Coturnix japonica: one gene and its partners. The main gene of each other region encodes a partner of the protein of the gene in region 7 in a complex. Links are inferred from orthologs where the notes say so. Each region holds a gene or a part of one and is shown on either strand. Other genes may lie near its edges.

What was found.
Region 1: SNRPE (region 7) and CRIPT share a complex: the UniProt entries of both Homo sapiens proteins name them as parts of the minor spliceosome. The link is inferred for Coturnix japonica from reciprocal best matches to the Homo sapiens genes SNRPE and CRIPT.
Region 2: SNRPE (region 7) and ARMC7 share a complex: the UniProt entries of both Homo sapiens proteins name them as parts of the minor spliceosome. The link is inferred for Coturnix japonica from reciprocal best matches to the Homo sapiens genes SNRPE and ARMC7.
Region 3: SNRPE (region 7) and PRPF4 share a complex: the UniProt entries of both Homo sapiens proteins name them as parts of the U4/U6-U5 tri-snRNP complex. The link is inferred for Coturnix japonica from reciprocal best matches to the Homo sapiens genes SNRPE and PRPF4.
Region 4: SNRPE (region 7) and BUD13 share a complex: the UniProt entries of both Homo sapiens proteins name them as parts of the minor spliceosome. The link is inferred for Coturnix japonica from reciprocal best matches to the Homo sapiens genes SNRPE and BUD13.
Region 5: SNRPE (region 7) and LSM4 share a complex: the UniProt entries of both Homo sapiens proteins name them as parts of the U4/U6-U5 tri-snRNP complex. The link is inferred for Coturnix japonica from reciprocal best matches to the Homo sapiens genes SNRPE and LSM4.
Region 6: SNRPE (region 7) and GEMIN2 share a complex: the UniProt entries of both Homo sapiens proteins name them as parts of the SMN-Sm complex. The link is inferred for Coturnix japonica from reciprocal best matches to the Homo sapiens genes SNRPE and GEMIN2.

Annotation. Positions count from the first base shown.
Region 1 is NC_029518.1:23,889,933-23,894,194, reverse strand, and holds the start of CRIPT (cysteine-rich PDZ-binding protein), read right to left. Parts: upstream 2,801-4,262; 5' UTR 2,768-2,800; coding exon 2,698-2,767; intron 2,604-2,697; coding exon 2,538-2,603; intron 1,873-2,537; coding exon 1,818-1,872; intron 1,081-1,817; coding exon 977-1,080; intron 1-976. Other genes in the region: PIGF (phosphatidylinositol-glycan biosynthesis class F protein), read left to right, coding at 3,000-3,227. UniProt on the Homo sapiens protein: As a component of the minor spliceosome, involved in the splicing of U12-type introns in pre-mRNAs. Involved in the cytoskeletal anchoring of DLG4 in excitatory synapses.
Region 2 is NC_029533.1:9,330,758-9,334,397, reverse strand, and holds ARMC7 (armadillo repeat-containing protein 7), read right to left. Parts: upstream 2,344-3,640; 5' UTR 2,221-2,343; coding exon 2,154-2,220; intron 2,076-2,153; coding exon 1,932-2,075; intron 1,471-1,931; coding exon 1,133-1,470; 3' UTR 501-1,132; downstream 1-500. UniProt on the Homo sapiens protein: As a component of the minor spliceosome, involved in the splicing of U12-type introns in pre-mRNAs.
Region 3 is NC_029532.1:813,639-817,745, forward strand, and holds the start of PRPF4 (U4/U6 small nuclear ribonucleoprotein Prp4), read right to left. Parts: upstream 2,801-4,107; 5' UTR 2,765-2,800; coding exon 2,690-2,764; intron 2,508-2,689; coding exon 2,330-2,507; intron 2,136-2,329; coding exon 1,949-2,135; intron 1,752-1,948; coding exon 1,664-1,751; intron 1,448-1,663; coding exon 1,368-1,447; intron 1,150-1,367; coding exon 1,056-1,149; intron 484-1,055; coding exon 389-483; intron 92-388; coding exon 33-91; intron 1-32. Other genes in the region: anaphase-promoting complex subunit CDC26, read left to right, coding at 2,894-2,974, 3,062-3,235. UniProt on the Homo sapiens protein: Plays a role in pre-mRNA splicing as component of the U4/U6-U5 tri-snRNP complex that is involved in spliceosome assembly, and as component of the precatalytic spliceosome (spliceosome B complex).
Region 4 is NC_029539.1:4,398,579-4,402,173, reverse strand, and holds the end of BUD13 (BUD13 homolog), read left to right. Parts: intron 1-55; coding exon 56-149; intron 150-485; coding exon 486-591; intron 592-970; coding exon 971-1,109; intron 1,110-1,330; coding exon 1,331-1,515; intron 1,516-1,666; coding exon 1,667-1,748; intron 1,749-2,085; coding exon 2,086-2,179; 3' UTR 2,180-3,095; downstream 3,096-3,595. UniProt on the Homo sapiens protein: Involved in pre-mRNA splicing as component of the activated spliceosome. As a component of the minor spliceosome, involved in the splicing of U12-type introns in pre-mRNAs.
Region 5 is NC_029543.1:3,006,002-3,009,986, reverse strand, and holds the start of LSM4 (U6 snRNA-associated Sm-like protein LSm4), read right to left. Parts: upstream 2,801-3,985; 5' UTR 2,686-2,800; coding exon 2,683-2,685; intron 2,559-2,682; coding exon 2,517-2,558; intron 2,389-2,516; coding exon 2,290-2,388; intron 142-2,289; coding exon 1-141. Other genes in the region: PGPEP1 (pyroglutamyl-peptidase 1), read left to right, coding at 3,075-3,108. UniProt on the Homo sapiens protein: Plays a role in pre-mRNA splicing as component of the U4/U6-U5 tri-snRNP complex that is involved in spliceosome assembly, and as component of the precatalytic spliceosome (spliceosome B complex).
Region 6 is NC_029520.1:34,106,523-34,109,622, reverse strand, and holds the end of GEMIN2 (gem-associated protein 2), read right to left. Parts: intron 2,724-3,100; coding exon 2,679-2,723; intron 2,178-2,678; coding exon 2,109-2,177; intron 1,675-2,108; coding exon 1,564-1,674; intron 1,400-1,563; exon of another isoform or gene 1,348-1,399; coding exon 1,289-1,347; exon of another isoform or gene 956-1,288; coding exon 916-955; 3' UTR 501-915; downstream 1-500. UniProt on the Homo sapiens protein: The SMN complex catalyzes the assembly of small nuclear ribonucleoproteins (snRNPs), the building blocks of the spliceosome, and thereby plays an important role in the splicing of cellular pre-mRNAs.
Region 7 is NC_029541.1:2,016,117-2,020,095, reverse strand, and holds SNRPE (small nuclear ribonucleoprotein E), read right to left. Parts: upstream 2,791-3,979; 5' UTR 2,685-2,790; coding exon 2,631-2,684; intron 2,099-2,630; coding exon 2,072-2,098; intron 1,690-2,071; coding exon 1,627-1,689; intron 1,534-1,626; coding exon 1,455-1,533; intron 779-1,454; coding exon 723-778; 3' UTR 501-722; downstream 1-500. Other genes in the region: MTCH1 (mitochondrial carrier homolog 1), read left to right, coding at 2,891-3,088. UniProt on the Homo sapiens protein: Plays a role in pre-mRNA splicing as a core component of the spliceosomal U1, U2, U4 and U5 small nuclear ribonucleoproteins (snRNPs), the building blocks of the spliceosome.

The DNA of each region.
Region 1 (4,262 bases), on a different chromosome or scaffold from region 7:
TAGTAATATGATTTTTAACACAAATTAATAATTGCAATATACATGTAACACTTCCACTTAAAAAATAAACTCTATTTTAAGAGCATTATGATTCACAGCAGCACCTGAAGCCTCGAATTTGCTGAACTACTGGAGGCCAGCCAGGAAAAGGATCCCAACTGGCAAACGGGTAAAAATAGCATATAACTAAACTTTAGAATTCCTGTAGCCTGAGATGGACAGAAAGTAGCAAGGTTAAGGAAATACAGGCGCCAAGAAACTGATTGCTAAATGAAAGATTAACCGGCAACTGAGAAAGCTGAGAAGAATACAGTTTCACAGAATTAAGTTAATTACAGTGTGCGAGAGAGAAATATAATGGACACCAAGAATAGCTGAGAGTTGAAACAGAGAAGACTAATGACCCAGAGGCAGCCCTCCGTTAGCAGACTTCCAAACCATGTACTCAGTGACACAGTGTGAAGTTGTAGAACAATTAACATTATTCCATAAACAAAAATCACTACCAGTTAGCTGTGACTCTACATCTAACAATTCATCCAGCCCATGTCTGCGTGCTGAGTGAATTCTTCAATAGTAAGAAGGTAACCGAGTTCATGTTGCACTATTTTCCCCCCATGGATTACAAGTTTGAGCCATTTTGCTTGCCCCCTGAAATTCACAAGACTGATAAAATTTTATATTCTCCAGTAGAGATTTCATAAGGGTTCTGAGTCCCTGTTATTACAATGTTTGACCACCCTCATGGTGAAAATTATTTTATTCACATGGAATTAAAGAATTCTGCACTCTTCTCCATCACTGTGCACTGTGATGGGGGCTCAGTGCACCTTCTATACCTTCCTATTATTAGCTGAAGACAGTAACTGAATCTCATCACAGCCTTCTCTTTTCCTCACAGAACAAAATCAAAGACTTCTACTTGGTCTCTAATTCCAAATCAAAGCGGGGTAATAAAGTTCTCAGTGAAACTCACCTTTTTTATAGGCACATCCTTGGCAATAGTGAGACCCTGGCTGATGGACAGAACTCTTACAAATTCGACATATTGCAAATTTGTTCTTTCCATAAGGATCAAACCTGGAAAAATGGAGAAGTACTTTGTTTATGCACAGTGAAATAAAGTAATTCCTTCATCTCATACTAAAAATGCTATGCGAGAGGAAATAGACAAAAACTCCAGCAAAAACTGCAATCAAAAACAGGGACATAAAGAGGTCAACTCTAATAGACTACAGAATTTCTACAAAAAACCTCCCATTTTCTCCATTAAGAGAGGTTTCTTGTGTTATAGAAATTAAATTAATAAATGATGAACTAAAACCACACATTGTTCTTAAGATACAAGCCTATTTCAAAGTCAAAATACATTTCAACAATGGCTTGCCCCTGGCATAACAGAATATCCTTTAGACATTAAGGAGATGCTCAAGCGTTTGAACAGGTAATGTTAGCATGGAAGATCACAGAATCATGTGAGTTGGAAGGGACCTTTAAATGTCATCTAGTCCAACTCTCCTGCAACAAACAGAGACAAACAGCCTTTTCAGCCCCTCTCTTAACACAAACAGCAATTCCTACCAATTTTAGGGATGCCCACAGCAATACAGCTGCCCATGCTCTGTAATTCCACAGAAAGCCCCAATGAAATACATAAATACACACTGCCACCAAGGATTAACATGTTAAAAGAAATGAATAAATTAAGTTGTATTTTGGACAAGTTTTGAGGAATTACCCTGCTTTGTGAGAATGCAAGGTCTCAGTTACAGAAAATTGAATTATTTTTTAAGCTGAAATGAGGATTAAATACTAACCTTGCTTTCTTTGAGGTCAACGCCTTGTTTTCATTCAGCTTACGGCCACCGCTTTCTATAAAAAAAATACAACCACAAGGCAATGCATTTCACAGTCCAGCTTCCAACTGCCACATGTGGGCATGTGTGATCAGAGCAAAGTGAAGCATGAAGCACATAGCATGGGCAGGCCCTGCATATCATCCTTCCACATGAGGGGAAAGATCATAATGTAAACATAGAAAGTGTTGGGTTGGAAGGGACCCCCCAGGGATGGTTAAGTTCCAGCACCCTGCCACAGGCAGGGCCACCAACCTCCAGATCTGGTACTAAACCAAGTTTCCTGGGGCTCCATCCAACCTGGTCTTCACCACCTCCACAGCCTCTCTGGGCAGTCTCCCCAGCACCTCACCACTCTGTGTGAAGAGCTTCCCCTAACATCCATCTAAACCTTCCCTCTTTGAGCTTAAAACCATTACCTCTCATTCTATCATTACCTATTCAAGTAAAAAGTTGATTCTCCCCCCCCCCCCCCCCCCCGGTAATGATCCCATTTTAAATACGGAAGGCTGCAATGAGATGGACAAATTCAACGCCAAAAAGCTCGAGGTAAACAACCCTTCACTGCACTCAATGGAAACTACAGCAGTGAAGGGCCAACCCGGTAACTCCAGCAGGCTTTGGGGCTGCCCCCCGAACCCTCCGGACGACCCGCAGGGAACACCCAGCGACCGACACTACCTGTGGTGTTTCTCGCCCCATCCTTCCACGTATCAGGAGTGATCACGGTGCCCAGCTTCCTCTCACCTACGGAAAGAAACACCACGAAATAAACGATTAGAATTGCGCTGCCCTCAGACCCCGCTTAGTGCCGGGATCCCCCCAATCCCACCCTACTCACACTTCTCGCACACCATGGCCGCCCAGCACAACAACCGCCGCTTCCGGACCCGCCCCGGAGCTGACGCCATCCCGTTGCCGGGCGGCCGGCGTCCCGGGTACGGGCCAGGTGGGCCCCGCACGTTGTTAGGCCGCCCCGCGGGGCGAGCCTGACCTAGGACGTTGTGCGAGCGTGAGGGTCGTTAATCTACCACTAAAAAGCCCTTTTCTCCCCCAGAACGCCCTCATTGCCCCGCTGGTGCGGCTGAGTCCCGCTGACCGAGTGCCGCTCGCTGTGTTGCAGGTGGCCGGCGGCACGGCGCCATGAAGGAGGCAGAGCTGAGGAGGCTGCTGGCTGCCAACCTGCTCTGCTTCGTCTCCATCGTCCTGACCGCACTCGTACCGGCCTTGTTCCTGGATGGGTTCTCGGTTTTGGGCACTCACCTCACGTGGCTGTGTGTTTGTTCTGTCTGTGTTAGCGTCCTTAACGTAACCTTGTGTTTAATCCTAAAGCCAAGTCCGTCTTCTAAGAGAAGCTCGCTGTCTAACAAGGTAAGATTTGTTTCTTTCTTAGATTCCTATCGAGTGATGTGGAGAGGATGCTAAGCCTGTCACTGAAATGATGTGATGAGAAAGAAGTTACAACTTCTGGTGGTGAATTCTTGTTTTCCATGAGTTGCAGAGCTTAACTCTGTCTGCACCTGCCAGCAGCCCTCTGGGCTGAGCATCCCTGACACTTCTTGCCCATGGGGTTGTGATTTGTAGTCACAAGTCTATCACTGACTGCATGCTGGTAGGAATTGGGGCACACCAGAGTGGGCACGAAATTCACTTTGCAGTCTAGGCCTGACCTTCGTTATTGCAGAGTATTGCTTTGTTCTTTGTGTAGGAACTGAGATGTAAAATTGGGAACAGCTCATTACTACTAAAACTTGATGAGGCAGTGGCACAGCTGCCCAGAGAAGCTGTGGTGCCCCATCCCCAGAGGTGTTAAGGCCAGGTTGGATGGGGGTCTGGGCAGCCTGAGCTGGTGGTGGCCAGCCCTGCTCATGGCAGGGGGTTGGAAATGGGTGGGCTTTGAGGCCCCCACCAACTGAAGCCATTGTGACTCACTGAAAGTTGGTAAACTATAAAAAGTGAAGTTGAAAAGTGTCAGAACAATTGCATTTCATTGAATGACTAAATCTGCAGAAATTAAATCTGGGAGATTTCTTTGTAGTTACAGTTTGTAATAGGACCATTGAGGGTGTGGATCCTAATTTAACAGGTTAGAGGAGTAAAACATAGCTGGGTCAGGAGTGGTAGAATACAATTTGAAGTCAGCTTAGTCGTGCAACCCCACCAGCTGTGTCAGACAGTGCTCTTACAGTGATTCTTAAAAGAGTTAAGCAGTCATCCAAGAAAGTAGTATCTTTGTATGTAAAACTGTTAATTGCTGACAGAGGGGATATAAAATACATGAAAACATCATGGAAAACAAGTCTTTTAACCATCTGTGATTTGAAAATGAAGTAGGCTTATGTGTTCTAGGTGAGGTTTCATCCCAGCCTAGCATATGTATAAATATCAAAGATGTGGCCAAGTGAG
Region 2 (3,640 bases), on a different chromosome or scaffold from region 7:
AGGTTCCCGCAGCGCACAGCGGAGCCGCCTGGCCCCGCACTAAGGCCAGGCCGGCAGTTCCACCCGCTTGTGGCCGGAGGTTCCACTCGGGGCCGTGGTGCCGCCAGGGGCCGCTCGGCTTCATGCGGGGGTTGCGGGGTTCACCTCACGGTGCCTCGTCCTGGTGCGGCCGGAGCCGCAGTGATGTTATGAAGAATAACTATAAAGACAAACAGCCAGCTGTGGTGTAAGCTCACTATGGCGTGTTTTGAGCTGAGTGGAGGGGGAGAAAGCAGAACTCTGGAACTCGCAGCCTTTCAGAAGCACCGTGGTAAAGGGCCACCCCGTTCTATGCCTTTGGGCAGTTTGCCGCCCTGGCTCCAGGTTACCTTTTGCACGATTGGCTGATCATAAAAGGAGAGCAAAGTGGCTCCAACTCCCAGCCCACGTGCATTAGTGGGAGCAGCAGAGGCTGCGCTGCAAGAGCTGTACAGGAACATTTACGAGCTTACACAGAACTGTTTACACAACAGCTCCGTTAATGTTTTATTAAGAAAAGGCTTTTCTTGTGAACCTGAATGCCATAAACCCTTTTCCTACCTGCACCTTTCTCACCAGTGGTAATGAGGGAAATACAGCTTTCTGCTTCCTGACCTATGGGATAGCTATCACCTGTTCTAGGGCAGGATGATAAGACAGTATGTATAGTACCAAAGGTATGTAATAGGATTGCAAATTACCAGGGCAGGGAAACGCATTTCTTCTGCAGGAGGGATGAAGTTTGGGTCATTTCAAAGTCATCTGAGTTGACACTGGAAAGCTGTGGCAAAATCAGCCAGGAACTGGAAGTGATACAAGCTGAACAATAACCCGAGCAGAGAAAGTAACTGCTATAAGGGTTATACCTGTAAGCTGGTTCAGAGCTGCACAGCAGCCATCACCTTTTTTATTTAAAATATTTGCTTCCATTTTCAGCCACGTTCTTGGCCTGTTATAGTGCTGTATGGTCCTTTTCAATACTAACTAAAATCCAATGCTAGTCTGATTTCCTGCTTTACTGTTCTCATCACACTCTTGACCTACTCAGCATTAGGTGCAGACCTGAGCAAACAGGGGGTGCTCCTCGCAGCAGCTCCAAGCTGCTCTGACAGCTTCAATCCTTCGGGAGAGGAATCCCCACCGCTGTGTGTTTGCTCAGGTTCCTGGCCTCTTCCACCTGCAGGGGCGTGCAATAATCCTCCAGGAAGATCGTGGCCAGATTGCTCAGCCTTCTGCTGGCCGACAGGGAGAAGCGAAGCATGCATTCCACCACCGGGAGAGCTGTGGTCTGCTGGCACGACTGCGGCGTTGTCAGATACATCAGGGCTGTGACTGCTGACATGACTGTCTCTTCGTTGGAGCTGGAGAGGCAGTTTATTATGGGCTCTACCCCATTGGCCTCCAGGATATAGTCTTTGTTAGTTTTATCCAAGCACAGGTTGCAAAGACCACCTGAAATAGCGAAAAAAGCATCTGACACATGCAAGACAGATTCTTTCTGCAGCCTCATCCGGACACACTCCATGCTCTGAAGGGCACCTCATCTGGGAATGAATGGCAGCAGCTGGAGCACGTTCCGTCTGTTGGTACCAGCAGTTGGGCCCTGACCTGTGTGGTGCCGGCACTGAGTTGTCCGCAGACGGACACTCCATCTTTACTACTTTTCTTAAGGCAACATGCACAGACAGTTTCCCTGTGTGGTAAGGGGGCAATCGGTCTTCAAGGTACCAGGAATTAAATGATGGGTTTTTAATTGCCCTACGTTGCCTTTTATTTTCTCCTGTCCATCTCAGTGCAGTGATGGCATTTATGGCGCCGTGTGGCTGCAGCGTTTATTTTCATTTTCCCCGGTTTGTTACCTGTGTTTTAGAGAAACAGGGAAAGCATCGGGGCGCACCCAGCGCTGTGCTCACCCATAGCGAATTCCACCAGGGTCTCGTCGTCCTCCGTCAGCATGTCGAGGAACAGGTCCAGCACCTGGAGCTGCCGCAGATACTCGTAGTTCTTGGGGTCGTAGGCGAAGTTGGCCAGGTTGGCCAGCACCTGCCGCCTGGCCTCTGCCGGGGAAGCAACGCGTCAAACGGGGCAAGGGGGGCTGTGGTAGATGGAGATTTCGCTTTTGTACGCGGGGTTACCTGGGCTGTCTGTCACCTGGAACTCCGTGACGAGGGCCTGCAGGTACTCCAACCTGCCCAGCTCCATCCCGAGCTGAGAACCAGAACCAGCCGATCAGCTGGACCGCGCCGCCGGCACGGGGCACAACGGGGCGCTCCGGACACCGGCGGCCGCCATGTTGTGGGCGTTACTCCCCGGCCGCCATGTTGTGGGCGGTGCGGCTGCTGGCTGCGCTCCGCGTGCGGGGCGGGCTGTGGGCAGCTCATGTGCGTCAATAAGTGAAGGCACATATCACTGCTGCACTCTGTATCTGGCAAACACGTGTTTTTATCGTTTCCCCCCTTTGTTCTGCACAGTTCTTCACCTTTCCCTGCCACCTGGTTGCTTGCCCCCCAGGCCTCAGAATTTACACCCCCGCGTGTGCTTCTCGTGCCTGTAACTGTGTTAGTGCACTTGAAGCGACATCTGTCATTACTAATATGGACCAGAGCGGGGCTGGTGTGAGAAGGGCAGAGAAGAGAAAGCAAACAAGGAGAAGCAAACCGACAGAAGTGTTTGAGGACAGTGGGACTGAGCAATAAGGGGAGGAGCGCGTTGCATTGGAGGAGGAAAATGCAGCGCTGAGTTCCCAGGTACCGTGTGTGTGTGTGGGCAGTCAGTAGGATTTTGCAAGCACAAAACCAATGGGAACTTTGTCCCCTGCAGTGATTTCACTGCGAGCAGCGTTTAGGAACAGCCCGTGCTGGTCGGGTGGTGCATCCCCGAGAGCTGCACCCTGCGGGTCACACTGCAGCGCTGCTGCTCACCTCACTGCGAGCTGCGTGCTCTGCTGCTTCTAGATTCTATCTTGTTTTGAGTCTAATCCAGGCTGGTTAACGGATGTGAGGAACATTGTGCATTTAATTTGAGCTGTCCCATAGAGTTTGGTAACATTCCCAGGTCTGTGGTCTGCAGAGATGTTCTGTAAGGGCTGCAGGCTGTGCTCGTGCTGCTTACATGACTGAGTGCATCTGATCATCACCGTGTGCTGCAATGCTGCAGGAAGTTTTCCTGGTCGTACACAACCATCTCTTGGCAGCAGTGCTGGCTCAGGCTGTTTGTGCGGGTGATGTGGGCCATATTTTGTCCATGTTGCACAGGCTGCCTGAGCATAGCTGTGGTATTAACAGCCTTAGGGGTAGTCTAATGACAGTGGTGCCCATTGATATCTCAACAGAGTTAGAATTTGGTCAATTTCAGGTTCTGGTGGGTGTGTTTCTTTTCTTGCAGTTACTGACTGGGTCTGCAAATTTTGCCAAACTCTTCATTTGAGTGATTTTGCAGTTCTGAGGTGTTTTAGAGTACGTAAGTTTGCCGTGACCTTTTGGGTTTGTTTGTTGTTTGTTTTGTTTTTAATTAAAGTTTTCCAAGATTTACCCTGGCAGACTATCTGAGTCTTATAAGGTTCACAGTTTTGCAATATTTCAAATGAACTTCCTGGTGAATGTTTCATAGCAGTAGGAAAAGG
Region 3 (4,107 bases), on a different chromosome or scaffold from region 7:
TACACAGGATATCAGTGAAAGTCATTCTTTACCTCGTAAGGTGTGAACAAGGTTACAGTCAGGCACAGACCACAGCTTGCACAGTCCACTCCTGTTGAACACAAGAAACAGAAGTCAGTGTAGACAGGAACATCAAACAGCTTATCAAACAAACTACACCAAGGGCTTCTGCAGTGGGAAAGTGGCAGTCTGACAAAACAGCATCTGACATGGAAACACACATGGAGCAAAAGGTGTGTCACTGAATTCCTCCTTGAGGACAAAATGGCACCTGCTGACATTCATCGACATTCCTGAATGTTTATAGAGACGAAACACTCAGTGCGGACCAGGCAAGCCAAAAGACTGGACACCATGCCCTAAAGTAAATGCTTTGAAGAGAACTTACCAACAGGCAGTAGCCAAGAGTTTGGAATTGGGACTGAAGTGGCAGTAGGACAGCGGGCGATCGTCCCCAATCTGACTACAGAAGTTATTCAAGGACTGCAACAAAATACAGAGAAAACAATGAATAAATACAAATGACTTAGGGACAGTCCTGGCCAGTGACTGAAGCAGAAGTCAGAGACCACAGGGAAATCACTTCCAAAGAGAGATGTTACCTCAGAGCTACTCTAGCCCCAAGCAGGAGGATTATGGAGTTTATCTGACTAAGAGAAACTAGCACAGCTCCATGGCTCAGCTTAGCACTCAGTATGCCACCCACCATACTTGCCACCAATCATACTGATGCCCTGCTTTGCAACTCAAGCTTTGACTGAAAAGAAGCAATCTGTTTAGCTTCAAAGGTAAGAGGCAAATCAACACAGGGATGTGTCTCTGCATCCCTCTGCAGTGCTAGAATACAACAAAAGCAGATTTCTCTGTACAACTGCAGAAACAGAGCTAGAACACGAGTACCACTAGAAGAGAGAGAAAATGCAAAGCTCTTCAAGGCGCAGCACAGCAAATTACACACATCTGGACAGCCCCTCCAGGCAGCTCGATCCTTCTGATCTCTTTGAAATTCAAGAAAAAACGTTCACAAGCAGCAGTTGAACAGATGGCAAACCTACTCGTAGGGATTTGTGCAGTTCTTGTCTCTGCGATGTCCTGGTTGCCTCTGGAATCTCTTTGAGCAGCCGGGCTTCTTCCAGACGCTTCGCTGCCCTGTGAAGAACAAAGATCAAGTACCAGATGTTCACATTTCCCATGCCTTGCTGCTAGAAACCCTCACTTCCCCATTACTGGGCTAACAGATTTGTCTACCGGAACATGTTCTTCATTCTTTTGATCTCAAATTTACTACACTACCCACAATGTGGTTAGTAGTTAAGAGTTTACAAAATGTTGCACTTCTCCCCTTCATTGATGTTAGTTTTCCTTACCTGGGAAGCGAGTAGTTAGCAAGCCACAGCCTTGCTGTTTTCAGACTCCGTGGTCCTTCATGGTACCAAGTCTGTTGATACTGTAAGGAAAAGAACAAAGCCAAAAAAAAGCTTAATGCTGCCGATTTAAACAGTGCATTGACAGTTCTGCTAAAATGGGCAACAAAGAAAAAGAAAGGGATGATTTTAGAATTTGCACCCTGACCACAACCAGGTCTTGAATGTCTCAGAGACCACCAAAATAAGGTATTCAAAGATGACTGTATAAATCTCCTCCGGCACTGAGAAATCATTACCTCTTCTTTAGACTTTTTCGACCTGTCGTCATCTTTCCTTGTCTTTTTTAATGCATCTGTGCCGACCACTGAGAGGATATTTCTTAACCTGAAAGGAAACACGTTAGGTTACGTTCACTTGGTGGACAAACACTCATTGTGTTCCATTCTTTCTTGTTATGTTGTAACCAAACACAGACCGGCAGCACTCGCTGCACGCCAACTACAAGGAAAACAGTGGGAATATGATAAAGTGGGGGAAGCTGAGCGTTCCCTCTTTGCAACACACAAGGGCAGACACAGCACCTCTCCCTCCTCTCTGCGGGACCTTCTCCAAAGAGCGTGATGGGCTCCCCGAGGGCTCGCAGACAGGCCTTCACTTCAGAGTCATCCGTGGAGACGTTGATTTGCCGGGCTCGCTTCCTGCGCTCAAACTCAGCCAAGACTTCGGCCTGTCGCTCACTCATGTGATCCTCCAGATCAAAGACCTCACCTGCACCAAAGCAAAACCATCAGCCTGGACACAGGAGCTGGACAGGAGATCCTCCTCCAACAGGAAGATCCCAACAGAGAGCTGGCAACCCAGGGAAAAGCCTCCCCTTATCAAACCTAATGTATGCTCAGATATTATTGGAGTGACTTTCGATTACACTAAATAAAGGCCACCCCATGCTGCTGTGCTCTCACCGCTGCTGATGTTGATGTTCCCGGCCTCCAGGGCCGCCTTCATTCCCTCCTTCCCCAGCAGCCCGGGCTCCCCCTTGGCCAGCCGCTCCCGCTCCTTCTCCTCCAGGCTGCCATAGAAGATGGGCGCCCTCTTGGCGGGGGGAGCATCGCCATCCTCGGACGGTTTGTTCTTCGTGGGCTGCAAAGGAAAGACAGAACCGATAGGAATCCGTGTGTGCTGAGTGCAGAGCTGACCTCATAACGGACACGGCACGGAAACCACAGGATCTTGTGATAACACCCCAAAGCCGCAGCGCTACCGGTCACAGCCCGACCCGTCACAGCCCTCCCAGCTCCGTTCCTTCCCATCTCCTCCCGTACCTCAGGCGGTGCGGGGCCCCTCACAGCCGCAGGCCGCGCCCCGCCTCGAGCCACCGGTGCCCGCACGGCCGCCATCACTGCGCTGCCCGACGGCCTAACGGAGCACTTCCGGTGACGGACAGGAAGCGGCGGGTCACACCGGGTAAACCGGAAGGGGCGGGCGGTGCGTGACAGAGCGGAAGGGGCCGGGAGGCGGCGGAAGCGATGCTGCGACGGAAACCAACGAGGTTGGAGCTGAAACTGGACGATATCGAGGAGTTCGAGGGAGTCCGGAAGGACCTGGAGGTGCGCGGGGACGGAAGGGGAAGGACCGGCAGGGGTCGGGGGTTGTCCCGGGCACCGGGGCCCTGACTCGGCCCCCCCGCCCCGCAGAGCCGCAAGAAGCAGCGGGACGAGGCGGACGTGGCGGGCGGCGAGGAGGCGGCGGGCATCGCGCTGGGAGCCGAGCACAAGAGCCGGGAGCAGCTCATCAACGACCGCATCGGGTACAAACCGCAGCACAAGGCCGGGGTCCGAGCCGCGCACTTCGGCACGTTCGAGTTCTGACGGTGCCGCTGCTCCCGGTACCGAACGGAGCCACACGAGGCTGTTTTAATAAATGGGCTTTTTTACAAACCGACACCAGCTCCTGGGTCTCCTTTGGTTGCACGGGGAAGTAAAAGCCTTCACTCAGCACAGCTGCAGCATTGACGGTTGTTTTTAAAGCACACAGCCACAGTAAAATGCATCTGCTTTATTAGTTAATTATATACAGGAGATCTTTGATACGTTACTAGATAAGTTACCTTCACAAAGAGCAAGAGGAAAATCAAAAGTGACAGTCTGCTGTAAACAAAACTATCCGTCCTTTTGGGTCTGCTGGGGCTGCAGACCAACTGAGAAGGCACTGGGGGAAATAACAGAAGCTCAGGGATGAACACAGCCTGGATACACTGTGCTTCCTACAGACATGTAAAGACAAAGTATCAGGGTGCACTCACAGACACAGCGATCACATTCTAAGCATGCTACATATGCTGACACGTGAACTTCATTTACTCAAGTCTAATAATCTAATATTAGAGTCCTCACCTCCCTCTAAGCACCACTCAACACAAGTTTAGTGTTAACACTGGGACAGCTTGAAATACAGCCAGCATAAAGGCCAGGATGGCATCCAACATCCAACGCACTAAGTGCAAGTCGGTATCACAGTGGGCAGGTTTTGCTCAGACTGGGGAAGCAAACAGCATCAGGTGGGCAGGAGGGAGGCTGGGGCACAGGGAGGCTCCTCAGGACTGTCAACAGTTACTAACCCTCAAAAGAGATGATTTCAAGGGAGGATGCACATACAGTGATGCAGAAAAGCAAGCAGGACTGAACTTATGTTATAAAAGCCGCAGCTACTGCATAGTTCCAACTTATCCTTCTCTGATTGG
Region 4 (3,595 bases), on a different chromosome or scaffold from region 7:
CTCTTAAATGTGTTTAGAGCAAGTCTTCATGCTCCAATTTCTCTCATCCTCAAAGGGCTCTGCCTTCTGGAAAGGGTCAGCGTGGTTCAAGGAGTCCCTCCAATCTCTCAGATCATCGCTACCCAGATGAGAAGGGATCTCCCAAGAAGGTAAGGGGTTTGTCTTTCCGTCTGTGCTGAAGATTGCTTCCTCTGATAGCAATCATTAACAGTGTGATGGCTTACAGATGGTAGAGCAGATATATAGCTTGTAAATGCAGCTGTGCCACACTGTCAGTTTGCCATAAGACCACGTGTGAGGTAGATGGAAGATGAGCTCTGCATGAGCACTCTGTATTTCTGGAAGTCTGTGGAAGCTGTTTGCAAAGATGGCAGCAAAGTGGCTTTGTAACAGAGCTGCCTCTCGTGTAACTTCCCCTTATCATACCTGTGAGTCACTGGGCAGCTCTCAGCCAGCAGTAAATGTGATTCTTGTTTGATTTGCAGGCCAAGATGATGTCTGGGGTCAAAGCTGGTTTGGTGTCAGCTGACGTGCTGCGGAAAGAGCAGCAGGAGCTCAGGAAGCAGGAGAGAAGTAGCAAGCACTTGGAAGGTAAAAGTCTGAAACCAGTGCACAGACATCAGCTTTTAGTCTGCTTTTGGCTGCCTGTTAATGCTGTATCAGGGCATGTCTTAAAATGCTGGTAGTAAGGGTGTTGATGGAGAGTGTCTGTGTTGGCTGGCATCCAGGCATGCTGATGAATATACACAGGTAAAAGCCACTGGGTCTCTAAAATAGAAATTTATGAGTGGTGATTTCAAAGAGGTGCCAATGAGACAATTGTGAGGCTTTTGTGTCTCATCTGCCCCATCTGCTATTCCTGATCTGAAGGAGCAGGCTGTTACACCTATAGCTCATTGCATGAGCTATGGAGTGGTTTGGAAACTGAAATATTCCCACGTGAGTGACTCAGGATATCTGTTATCCCTAGAGGAATCCCGACACACGGAAACCATCTTCCGCGACAAGTCAGGCCGCAAGAGGGACCTTGTGCAGGAACGTCTTGAGCAGAAGCAGAAAGATGAAGCAAAGTTGTTGCATGATGAGCAATATGCCAGATGGGGAAAGGGGTAAGGTGTCTTGGTGACATGTCACTTTACAGGTTGCAGACTGGGGGTTGGCAATGAGTTTTGTGCCTGGGACCAGGTTATTTTGTGTGGGATTACCCTGTCTGTTGCTGGGTGCTTCTCAGGGATGCTACACACAGTAGATTCTGATCAATACTACAATTTGAGCAGATGGCAGTAAATTATTCCTTAGTTTTGAGGTGGTACTTTGTATGTGTTTTTAGATTAGCACAGGAAAGGCAGCAGCAGCAGAATGTGGAAGATGCAATAAAAGAAATGCAGAAACCATTGGCCCGTTACATTGACGATGAAGATCTGGATCGAATGCTGAGAGAACAAGAGAGAGAAGGAGACCCCATGGCTGAGTTCATCAAAAAAAGAAAAGCCAAAGAGAACAAGGAGAAGAAAGGTATGGAAAGCTGTGCTGGTGCAGGTTTTAATGCCCAAGGAGCATAGAAATGCAGCTGCTGTTCAGTGAACAGTGTGAGGTTGCTGTGGCAGCTGAGTCCTGAAGATTGCATTGTAGTAACCAATGTCTGTATTGCTGTTTTTGTCTCTAGAGAAACCTAGGTACAGTGGACCAGCACCTCCTCTCAACAGATTTAATATATGGCCTGGGTATCGCTGGGATGGGGTGGACAGGTAGGTATTCCTGATACACTGATGTCATTGAATGGTAGTAAAACTAAATGAGCTTTTGCCTCAGAGAGCTTACAGTGAGTGAGATGCAACTTATTCAACCTTAACACTTCTCATGGTTATGAATGGCTGGTAGGGACATGCTTGTCTGGGACAAAAGGGAGCCAGGTTCTGTTCTGATCTGTTGTGGCACTGCCTGCTGTTTGCCACAGCTCAGAGTGGAAACTCAGCTGGAGGTGTTGATGCAAAAGTAGTGGCAAACATGTGATGTCATTTAAAAGCTTTGTGGCTTTAGTAGATGTGCACGGTAGCCCATGGTCTTGTTGGTGTTATTTTGTAGGTCCAACGGATTTGAGCAGCAGTTCTTTGCCAGGATGGCCAATAAGAAGGCAGTTCAGGAGCTGGCATACAAGTGGAGCATTGAAGACATGTAGATAGAAGAAATAACCATGTGAAACAGCACGACTGAATTGAGATCTGCCTGCTACCACTGCCAGAGCCAAAAGTAACGGCTCCTCTGCCTGGACCAAGCACTGTTCTTGGCATTCAGTATCCCAGTGGATTGTCTTCTTGGAAGCAAGGCTGTGTTTAGAGGAGAGCTGCTGGAAAAGGATTTTCCTGCCAGCCAGAAAGGACCAGTGCCAAAAACTGGAGTGGCTGCTGCCCACAGAGGAACACTTCTGCTCCCTGGTGTTCCTTCATGAGGTGCTGCAGACACTGGTGTCTGACCCACTTATTTCTTTACTAATAAACTGTAGAAACTGTGTTGAAATGTTCTATGCCAAATGCTTTGTCCTCTGAAGGCAGTTGACAGGTCTTCAGATGTCCTAAATCTCAGGTTTATTTCATGGTGGAAGCATGCTGGGATTTAAGTCATGGAGGGTTAATCCTATCTGGTGTGTTGGCCTATTGCAGCACACGGTTGTGGTTTCAGCTATGGCTGAGTTCTTCCAGAGGGTGTTTTTTGCTCTGAAACAACTTAATACTGTGAGCTGATTTACCTGTGGGCTCATGTTATGTCTGCCCCATGTTCTCCATGTCCTTGCTAATGAGCCCAGAGAGCTTCTGCTTGTTCAATGTTGTGTAACTCTTAACCCTTCTGGTTCCTGGAGTCTTTGGCTTGCAGTGAAGTTAGCACAGCAGAGCTTCCTGTAGCCCTTATGGGAGCTGTGCCAGGTGGGTCAGTATGTGGCAAGAAGCTGCTTGCTGTACATATAACTCTAGTTCTCTACTAGAAATGGCTGAATGAACAACACGCCATGTTATATTTGACAGCAAAGTCTTCAGAAGCTCCAGCAGCTCCTTGGGGGTCAATTTCTTGTGGCAATAAACACGCAGAGGCCATTTAAACTGTTTCCCTTGGCCATTATTTTCTTCAGAGTAGCTAATGGTCATGGATTAGTCCCTACAGCTTTCTCTCTGGACAGCCTTGCTGATGGCTCTTAGCGCTGCTGCCTGGGGGCTCGCTTCAGCACGAAGCATAACCTCTCTCTTGTGATTAGATTTGTCCAGCTTGCAGCTGGAGGCCAAGCAGAGCGCTGCGCTCCATCCCTGATTGCAAGAAAGCATTTCTAACTAAAAACAACGGGTTGGTAACAGACATTGTATGGAAGGGTTACATAGCAACAGCATCGGAAGGTTGTGAGCCTGAGATGCTCTACCAATGAGTGTCACCACTGTACCTCACAACTGAACGCCACCGCTGCAAGAAGAAGCTCCCAAGCTGCTCCACCGGACCCTTTTGTTTAGAGAGCATGGATCTCTTTCTTTATTGTCTTAAGCTGTTTGTTTGGTCTGTTATCTGAGCTTCAGGTGGCAGTTTATTGATGAGCATCCAGATGAAGTGAAGC
Region 5 (3,985 bases), on a different chromosome or scaffold from region 7:
CTGTTGCATCCCACCACGGCCTCTGCCTTTGGAGACCACCTCTTCTTTCACCATGTCAATTATCTCATCGGGGATCCGAAGGTATTTAATTGTGCTGCCACGGATGTAACACTCTGGCATCCTCCAGAACTTGTCACCATCCTATTGGGAAGCAACGTGTTAAGCTGAGAACAAAACCACGTGCACTTAAGTTGCTTTTTGACACTTGAATATCTCCATCACTTCTGAAGCGTGCGACAGATGTAATAGTCTATTCTGAATGTACAACCCATAATTAGCTGTGAAATTCCTGTTTTCCCTTTAAAACACGCAGCCCTACAACCTGCTGGGGAGTCAGGGGGCGTTCAGCCATGAGCCACTGCAGTTTCAGCCCGTTCACAACCGCCTTTGACTCTCACAGAAAGTGAAGGAAGAAGAGGAAACAGCACCTTCCCTTTGCTTCTCATACAAGAAGAGAATCGAAAGTGGGACTGGAGAGGGAAATGTGGTAAGTTCAACACAGCTGCTGCAACACGGGGCAGTTCCAGCACATAAAGCCCCAACCAGAGTCACCTACAAACTGAACCCCTTTGTGGTGTGGATTGAGCAGCGAGGAGCATCCAGCTGGGTGTGGGGTGAGCCCAGCAGCGCACAGGAACCGCGGCTGTGGAAAATAAGAGCTTACAGATCACGTTCAAAGAAACCTTCGGGTGCCAAGTTACGGAGCAGCTGCCTCTGTGTTTTGTTTAAGGCAGTTTCAGGGCTTTGCTAGGACACAGCCCATCAGGGCTTCAGCTCCTGTGGCTGTGGGAATAGGAACTGCATGTGAAAGTTGAACAACAACTGATGTAAGCGGGAGGAGGGATGGAACCTCGTGCGCACGGCCGTGCTCTGCTGCAGGGCTTGGCTGAACACAGGCTCCTCACAACTATCACACATGGACAGAGTGTCCACAACATCCCAGAGGAGTGGGTGAAACCAGAATGCCTCGTTTCACCTCTCCAGAATCAAGTTGTACCCCCCTCCTCCTCTGCTCCGGTGTTATTTGGGGCAATGCAGCATGCACAGGCAAGTTCCGTGTGTGTGAGACAAGCAGCCTTCTTCAAACAGGCACCCAGCAAACCCCACCCTGCCTGGATCCGCCCGGCTGCACTTTGGCTCTCTATGCAGGAAGGGATGGAGCCAGGTCCCCGGCTTCCTCGTTCCAGCTCCCCATGTAAACAGCTGCCGCAGCTCCATGCCATCTAGTGGCTGATCCCCACCGTGCCACCAGGAAGGCTTCCATATATACCCCCCCAGTAGCACCCAGGGGGTATTTAGGGGTGGGGAGTGAACTGCAGACCACTCGGTGGGTATAAATGCTGAAGTGCTCTGCCCACAGCAACACAAAGCTGCTTAATGAGGAAGCAGTATTAAAGGCCGGCATCCCTTGTTCTGCAAGCACTAGTAAGGCTTTGCCACTTGCCACCCCTTCCCATTGAACTTATCTGTTTATCTGCCCCAACAATCTGTGGATCCAGATTTTTAGGGCTCACTGCTCTGCTGTTATGATCCTTCTTAAACCTTTGCTTTGTTTAAGTACACACATCACATCTCCGTGCCCCAGCACTATTGGCCAATACCTTCCTGCTGTGGGTCCAACAGGCACAGAAACCCTTCCTGAAGAAGAAGGGTTTCCCTGACAGCCTCCCCCACAGACCCGTGATGTTCCCAGGCACAGAGAGCAGCAGCAGCAGCAGGAACGTGGCCAGGCACAGGCTGCCAGGGACAAGACCAGACACTTGAGGCTGAGGTCAGAGCTCAAAGCACAGATCCCAATCTCTTCTCGGAGCACTTTGGCCATGGGCAAAAGTAGCAGACGAGGCACAACCCGGTTAAACAAGAGGCCCTAATAACTTTTGATGTGGAGTTACAGGGCGTGAGGCAGGTGATGATGAAAGGCAGCACTGTGCTCGATGGGGCTGCATGGAGCGGGCAATGGGACAGGACCTGTCACCAGCCCTTCACACTGAGCACCTTCACCCTGCTGTCAATGGGCTCATTCGTTTCTTACACCTCATAACTGCGTTACATTCACATTCAAAGCAAAAGCAACACACACAGAAGGGTGAGGATCTCTGCGAGTCCCACTCAGCTGCAGGGCTGGGGGCTGATAGCAATGTGGGGTCTATGGGCGCAATGGGGGGTCTATGGGCGCAATGGGGGGGGTCTATGGGCGCAATGGGGACAACTCATTCCTGATCTGCTTTGATGCTGTTCAAAGTAGGGGGTCTATGGGCGCAATGGGGGTCCTGGCATTGAGCTGGTTACCCGTGAGGTGCAGATGACCTCCCGCAGGTTGATGTTCATCCAGTTGTCGCAGCTCACCAGGTGCCCGTTGTACGTCTCGCCGTTCTTCAGCTCCACCAGCTGGAAGAAGCAAAGGGGGGGGGTCAGCATGAAGGAACCGGGACCGACGGGGCGGCACGGGGACCCAACGGGACCCGACGGGGCGGCACCGGGCCCATAGGCCGCAGCGGGAGTGGGCCGGGACTCACCATAGGGTGGTTCTGCGCCGTCTTCAGCAACGACAGGGGCAGCTGCGGGGGAAAGAGAGAAAGGCCTCAACAACCGGGAACCGGGACCGCCTCGGATCCCCATGTAGGGGCTCAGGGAGTACCGGGACAACCGAACCGGCCCGGCCCGGCCCATTCCCGCACTCACCATCGTGCCGGAACCGCGGAGCCGCCGCCGCGCCGGGCGCTGCCGCTCAAACCACCCCCGGCCCCACACGGGACCAATCAGAGCTCGGCGCGGTCCTCGCGGAGCCAATCAGCGTGCAGGACCCGCCTCGGCCGTAAAGCATCGCCGAGGTTGGCGGTGCACAGCGTCACGACAGTGCCGTAAATTGAAACGCCGAGCGGGAAGCGGCACGGAGCGGCGCTCAGGAGGCGCTCTAGGCAGCGAGGCGGCGCGCACTCTATGGTCGCGCGGGGCCGCTCTGGTCCTCGGGGCGGCGCGTATTCTATGGCCGCGCGGGGCCGCTCTGGGCGTCGGGGCGGAGCGCGCTCTATGACCGTGCGGGGCCGGTCGCTCAGTGCGGTGCGGGAGCGGAGATGGAGAAACCGCGGAGGGCGGTGGTGGTAACGGGTACGGGCGGATGGAACGAGACCGGGGGGTGGGGAGGGGACGGCAGGGTGGGCTCTGATTCCATTATCTCAACGGGGGGGATGCGGGATTGGGAGGGGGCGGTGAGGGGCACATGGGGGTGTCGGGGTCCTGGTGGGGGTGTACGGGGATTGGGAGGGGCGCGACGGGGCTGCGGCGTGTCACAGACCCCTCCGGTTATACCCCCCCCCCCCGGTCCCCGCTGTATTTGTCCCATCTCTTGCCCCGGGGGGGTTGGGGGGTGGTCTCTGCTTCAAACATTCAGAGCTGATGGTGCTGGATCTGCCCCTGATGGTCGCACTGAGACCCCATTGCAACCCCATGAAGGTCTGCAGGGTGGGCTCAGTGCTGTGTGCCCGGCAGGACCCTGTGCTGGGTGTGGGGTGGCTGAGGCTGGGTTTGGTGCTACCCATAAAGTTGCTCATCTGATATGCAAGGAATCGATCTGGGGGTCGGTGTGGAGGATGAGTGAGGGGGCAGCTCAGTTGGGTTCAGAACGAGAGGTTTTGGTTACATTGGGGTACCTGGAAAGCTGGTGTGATTCATATTGAAACCATCCCAATGAAACACCTGTTTGGTGCTCTCACATCTATAGCTTATATATGGAGAAACAACAAGTGCATTAGGATCCTGTGGGAGCCTTCAGGAGGGTTATTATGGGGAGATATTGATGCTGGTTCCGCTTGGAGGCTCAGGTTGATACTGAGATCCCATTGAGCTGTACAAAGCCCTGTTGCTGTTGTGTGCGGTGTAACCTCAGCCCTCCCCTTCTGCTGGCAGCACATGGGAGGTTTCCATTAGTGTGTCATGTAATATTTGTGGTCCTGACTTAGATGCAGTGCGTGCCTTCTGATTGCAT
Region 6 (3,100 bases), on a different chromosome or scaffold from region 7:
AGTCTGCTGTTACCAGCAGAAATGAGAGTTCCTTTAAATTGGATTTTCAATTGTTGAAGATAATTAGGACCCAACAGAATCATGTATGTATGAAGCAGACACCAATATTCTTGGCAAAGCACTCCCTGTTCAATATGTTAAGTCAAGTAGGTGAGCTAATGTATTTGTCAAGATTCCATACAGAAAATAAGTTTGTCCATTGTGTTTAATAGATGCTTCTGTTGAAGAGTACTGAGTACAGCTGTGCCTTTTCCCCTGGCTTCTGCTACTTTCCACTGTAAAGCAGCAAACTATTACTCAGGAAATCTATGTACTACCTCCCTTTATGTTTTTGTAACATAATTGTATCAGTAATTCACTGGCTATAGTTGTACTTCATTAGTAGTATTTAAGTTCAGGAACTATATCCTGAAAAAAACACATTGGATCCCAGTTGTGTAGGCTTCTGAAGTTCTGAAGGCAGTTGTTAAGTACTATGAAGACTGAGAATAGCCACAATGTTTAAGAACACTTTAAGGTATGTTTCAGTTTTATTAAAAAAAGACCTCAAGGGTTGTGTGTTAGGTAACGAACAGTCGTCTGTGACATCTGCTTAAACTTAGAAGTCTTTACCTAATGGCAGCATCCACAGGATTACTCAGATGGTAAAAATTTATAATGAACAATCTACTACACTACAACAGTTGTTTGAGGGATAACGAGAGATGATTCATGGACCATTTTATGATGAGGATACTGAAGAGTAGTACCCTCATGCTAAAGATCAGCTTACGTTATTCACAGCTGTTCCAAATATATTACTATGTTGAGGGTGCTCTGAAGAAGTTGTATTGTACTTCACAGGAAGACACTGCATGCTTCAGACCTGTATGCTGGTTGTACTATGGCAACACAAAATGGTTTTCTCAAAAAAGTCTAGGAGGGCTCATCAGCTAAATCACGTTGATCAAAGTACCTAGGGGAGAGAAATGGAATACAGTAAGAAGACTCTAATGCAACACACTCCTTACTTTGATCTGAGTTGTTAAACTATCTGCTTTCCAGGCTTTAATTTAGTATTTCTATCATATTTATAGCTTCACGATTGAGGGAGATCACCAAAGAAAACTAGTGTGTCTCCTCTGTTTTAGTCTTAAGTTTGTCTGGAGTCCTTGTAACTAAGTATGTCTGCTACATATATCCAGACTGCTTGGACTGACTTTCACTTTAAAGGAATCTATGTTAGCACAAGGATAATCACGCTTATTCTGGACATGCTCTGCTATTTTATATCTGTAGTCTGCATTACCTGCTAACTAGGCAGATTAACAGGTTCAGAGCTGACACTTGCTCTTCGTTCTTGTTTTCCTGAAAGAGAAATAAATACCAGAACAGTTCCTCTGTTAACCACATCCACTAGGGAAATGTTACCTGCCATGTTATATGTTGTAGTCTTCCTCTCATTTTCTAGCAGACTTCAAATGTGAAAAATAACATGCCAAGAATTTAAGAGCTGAAAAATCACTTTCTTGATAATTAGTGAAGTTAAAACAGTCCTTTGCAGAACATTAAATTAAATCTTACCTCTAGTACTCTCACTTCTGAGCATCGCCTTGCCAGCTGTCGAATGAGGGAGTGAGCTTCAGGTAGCAAAGGTTTTTCAAGGCACGCCAACAGCGCATAAAACCATCTACCCTGTGTGGATTTAAATAGTGAGTTTTTAATTATGGGCATTTCCTTGAAGTTTTACACACTGACAACTTAACCTGATGTCACGGTTTTATGATTTTTGGTTACTGGTTTTCCACATCATAACATGATGGGAACCTCTTTTCTCCCCACCTCTCTTTCGACCTTGCAGATTAAGTTATTGTGGGGAACAAATGAAACAGAGGAGTTTTAGCAGTACCTGAAAGATCTGTATCTGTTGTTTTGTAATTACCCTTTCAGAAAGTTCTGCGTATGTTCAATGTAGTATCTAGTCAGGTGAGTTTTGAGAACAACTGAATACAGTGCACGGATCTAGAAAACTATTTGGAAACTACAGTAATTTCACAGAGAAGAGAGTATAATGTATCCCTTGTTTCATGTGCTCACATGCAAGTAGTTAGAACAAAATTAAGAATTACCAGTTCCGGAGTAAATTTTTTCTCTCCAAACCAGCTTATCAGGTATTCTAAGACACTGGTTACTGTGGCCTTCGAAAGAGAAATATAAAGACACAATGCGATATCTACAGAGTTTTGTTTTGCTGTCCTTCTGCCCAAAGGATTATATTATGTAAAGAGCAAATGTGATTTTTGTCTTTAAATACAGAAACATTATATGTTTCTACTTGGCTGTAATTCTATATGGCGTTCAGTTCAGGGTGAGATTATATGTAACTTTAACTTAAATTTAACTTAACTTAAACACTGTAAGCCCCTAAAAGATGCACTCAAACATTAGAGATTTCTATAAAGAAATTATGAGAAAATACACTTACATCTAGTTACAGTAAATGTTTGCTGGTATAACTGTAGTTAAAGGTGAGATAATATTTTTTCCTTGTAAGTGTACACTGAATAGCAGCTGAAATAAACTATCACCTTAGCACAGAAAAATAGCTGAGATTTATGCAACTGCTGGAACACAGGAAGTACTGACTTTTGCAATATCACTATGCTGTTCTAAGAGGAAGGCTTAAGATGTAGGCTTACCTGATTCATTCTGCTTACAATGCTTAGCAGAGGAGGAAAGCCCACCTGAAAAAAGTCAAGTTGGAAAATGCAGAAACATCACAAACACCTTTTTTTTCTAAGTTAGAACTTACTAACATTTAATGTTAGTATTTGTAATTGGTAATTATTTTGAATTCTGTTACAGAATAGCATGTACAAAAACAGGGAGCAACTTTACAAAACACTAAACCAGACTATGGATAAAACTTCAGCTGGCAGCGAATTAGCGTGTTTTAGCTGGGAACAGATGAGGGAACTCCCCGAACTTTTTGACTGAACTAATAGATTTGTTCTCTGCTTCACTCAATTTCAACTTAAAAGGGAAGAGAAATGGGTCTTACTGGGCTCATCAGCCAGCTTGCTTTATATTTAGCACAACGTGATAATAAACAGTAGCGTTG
Region 7 (3,979 bases):
CACTTATGGAAACTTAAATAGGACAGATCCTTACATGGATAATAGTGATAAAATCCAGCCACATCTGACATCCCAGCACTAGGATTTAATGCAGAGATGCTGCCCAAAGAAGAAATTATAGATTTAATCCCAACCAGCTGCCCTATCTAATGATGATATTTTACCAAAGTACAGCTATTAATATAGTTTGTGATGTCGGATCACTGTATCACAGCCTCAAATCCATCACCAACCCACTGATCCACCAGAAAGCACCCAAGGAACCAGCTGTTTTGACAACAAAGGGTGGTAATTGCACGTAGAACCTCTAACAAACTTAATTAGAGCCATGCATGCTCAAGCCTGACAGTGACACCAGAGCCTGTCCTGTCTCATGTTGTAACTACCCAAAAAGCACAGAGCTATCAGGAACTTATCGGACCAACAGCAAATCACTTGATGTACATTTCTCTGCCTTCTCCAAGCATAGAAAGCTGAGAATAAAACCATGCAGATTTCCGTTTACAGACAACGTGAAAAATGTTTATTTGGGAAATACATCCCTTATTGTTTCAGACTACAAAAAAAATCACTCCTACAAAAGGAGGGGACTTTGAGCTCAGCATGCAATGCCAGTTACATGTAACTTTCTATCTACCAGCAGGGGTAGATCTCCCACTGCACCTTCTTCATTCACTCCAAACCATTCTGAACTGCAATCACTGCCCTAAGAACAGCGATTTCTAGTTAGAAACACTTTGTAGAAGAGTGATATTGTCTCCTTTTAACATGATCCGACCTGCAACACAGAAAGGAAATGGGGGATTAGAGAGATCCCAGAATCCAAGAATACCTCATGTTTTCACATATTATCCCACAACAGGAGATGCTTGCAAGAAGATGCCCCTATTATAGAGGGGGAGGGTTGCAATGAGTCCTATCCCTGCTGGCAGCCCCATATGGAAAGCATAGCAGGGCAGGGTCCATACTCATAATCCACTCCCAACTCTCAGACACCATCTCAGCCCCAGCAGAACACTGTCCCTGCTATAAACTCAATCCGAATCAACGCATCCCCTCATCACAGACAGCTTTATCTTCTCCAGCAGCGGTAAATAGTAAATACCACCAGTCAGGTGGCTCCTGCTTTGGCCAAGAGTTGACCCAGCAGGTACGAGAATTGCTCAGGGCTACCAAGTTTAGAAACAGCCCAAAGGAGTTTGGACCAGACTCCTCCAGACACCTCAGTTGTACAAAGACAGCATTTAAAAGATAACAACTGGTCTCAGGCACAGGGAGATTCTCCTTTACATTCAGCAAAATCATCACCTTTAACAAACATCAGGAACAAAGACTGAGCCAGCACCTGCCCAATGCTCTCCCAAACCAACACCTGGCATGTGCTTTCCACCTTTAAGTGTTGCTACCAGCAAGGCTCACCCAACCACCTTTCATGCTATAACACGTTGACATACCCAGCTGCTTCCTTGATTTTGTTTTGGAGTGAATCTCCTCTGCATCATCCAGCACCAGGTTCATATATTCATCGAAGCCCTGAAAATCAGTGGCAAAAACACTCAGTTGGTAGCACACAGACTCATGAACGTGGGAAAGCCAATGGTAACACATGGACATGTTGGTACTCACAATGATGCAGCCTTCTATCCGCATGTTCACCTGCTCATAAAGCCACACCTGGATCCTGGACCTCTGCAAAACAATCAGGGTGAATAAACTGGAAAAGAAATGCTTCAAGCAATGCTGGTCTTTGCTTCTGTGCATTTAAGAAAGCCTTGCTAGTAATGTGGTGAGAAATCTTTGCAACCAACAGCCACTGCAGCTCTGAAACACCCCAAAGAGCAACTCCCAACACAGAACCTTGTAGGTGTGGGTTATTGAGTGTGTGTTACACACACAGGGGCACAATCAACATACAAAGGTGTTAATGCAAAGGGAGAACGCTCATCTCTGAGCCAGCTCTTATGCTCCCAAACAGCACCAGTTCTTCGTTTGAAGCCGATGGGCTCCAAAAGCAGCCAAGAAGTTACAAACCCAAAGGCGAACCCAGCCCTGCCCCGGCCCCAGTACTCACGTTCTGCAGGTAGCGGAAGATGAGGTTCTGTAGAGCAGCGTTAAGGACGGGAACAACTCCAGAGAGACACAAGGCCCTGCAGGGCCGCTCCTACCCTCCACTCGCCATCGGCCCCAGAGACGCCATAGGCTCCATAGGCCCCATAGACCCCACAGGCTACATAGGTCCCACTCGGCCCCAGAGACCCCACAGGCCCCAGAAACCCCATAGGCTCCATAGGCCCTGCAGGCCCCAGAGACCCCATAGGCCCCACAGGCCCCATAGACCCCATAGGCTCCACAGGCCCCACAGGCCCCACAGGCCCCACAGGCTCCATAGGTCCCAAAGGTCCCACTCGGCCCCAGAGACCCCGCAGGCCCCATAGGCCTCAAAGGCCCCACAGACCCCATAGGCCCCATAGATTCCCCCATAGGGCCACACACCCCATAGGCCCCATAGACCCCACAGGCCCCATAGGCCCCATAGGCCCCACAGGCCCCATAGGCCCCATAGGCCCCATAGGCCCCATAGGCTCCATAGGCCCCGCAGGCCCGTCCCCTGCCCCTCCGGACAAGGATACGATGGGCTGCACCATCACCTTCTGCACCTTCTGGCCCTGCCCTCGATACGCCATGGCTACTCCCTGCCCGCCGCCACCACAAGCTCCGCCGGAAGTCGCAGAGAACACCGGAAGCCGCTGAGCAAGGCGGGAACGCGCAAGGGACGCTGGAAGACTTGCCGCTCTAGGAAAGCGGGAGGACCGCGTCTCTACTGCTCGCAGATCCCACCAGTGCTGTCTCGCATTAAGATCCCGCCCACCAATACGCAAAGAGGCGGCGCATGCGCAGTGGTGGCGGCGGCGGGGCCATGGCGGGCGAAGCTCCGCTGCCCTCGGTGGCGCTGGCGCCCCCTGGCGGCGGGTCTGGGCCTGGGGTCGGACCGGGCCGAACCGACGGTACCGAGGGGCTGTTCGTGGCTCTGGGCGCTGGGCTCGCCGCCGTCAGCCACCCCCTGCTCTACGTCAAGCTGCTCGTCCAGGTCCGGGGCCTAAAGGGGGTGTGGGGGGGATGAGACCCCCGTGTGGGGGCAGGGGGGAGGCCTGAGGTGTAGGCCGAGGTGTGAGGGGGGGTCGTGGGGCGTCTCTATGGGGTGACGGCCTGTGTAATGATGGGGAACCCCATAGGGAACTATGGGGACCCTGTGCAAAGGGAACCCCCCATATGTGGCAATGGGGGTTCCCTCCTTATAATGTGTTGAGGGGGGTAATGGGGGGTGACGGCCTGTGTAATGATGGGGAACCCCATAGGGAACTATGGGGACCCTGTGCAAAGGGAACCCCCCATATGTGGCAATGGGAGCTCCTTATAATGTGTTGAGGGGGTTAATATGGGGGGTGAGGCTGTGTAATGATGGTGGAACGCCCATAGGGAGCTATGGCGGACCCTGTGTAAAGGGAACCCCCCAATATGTGGCAATGGGAGCTCCTTATAATGTGTTGAGGGGGGTAATGGGGGAGTGATGGCCTGTGTAATGATGGGGAGCCCCATAGGGGGCTATGGGGACCCTGTGTAAAGGGAACCCCCCATATGTGGCAATGGGAGCTCCTTATAATGTGTTGAGGGGGTTAATATGGGGGTGACGGCCTGTGTAATGATGGGGAACCCCATAGGGGGCTATGGGGACCCTGTGTAAAGGGAATCCCCCATATGTGGCAATGGGGGTTCCCTCCTTATAATGTGTTGAGGGGGGTAATGGGGTGAGGAGGGTCGTGCTGTGTGATGGGGTGGCACTCAGTCACCGTTATCTGTGTGTATGGATCCCACCTGTAGCTGTGAGGATGGAATGGGGAGCACTGTGGGAATTGGGATATTGCTGCATCAGGGACAGCTGTATAACAGGGAATGGGAACTCATATATAAACATATATAC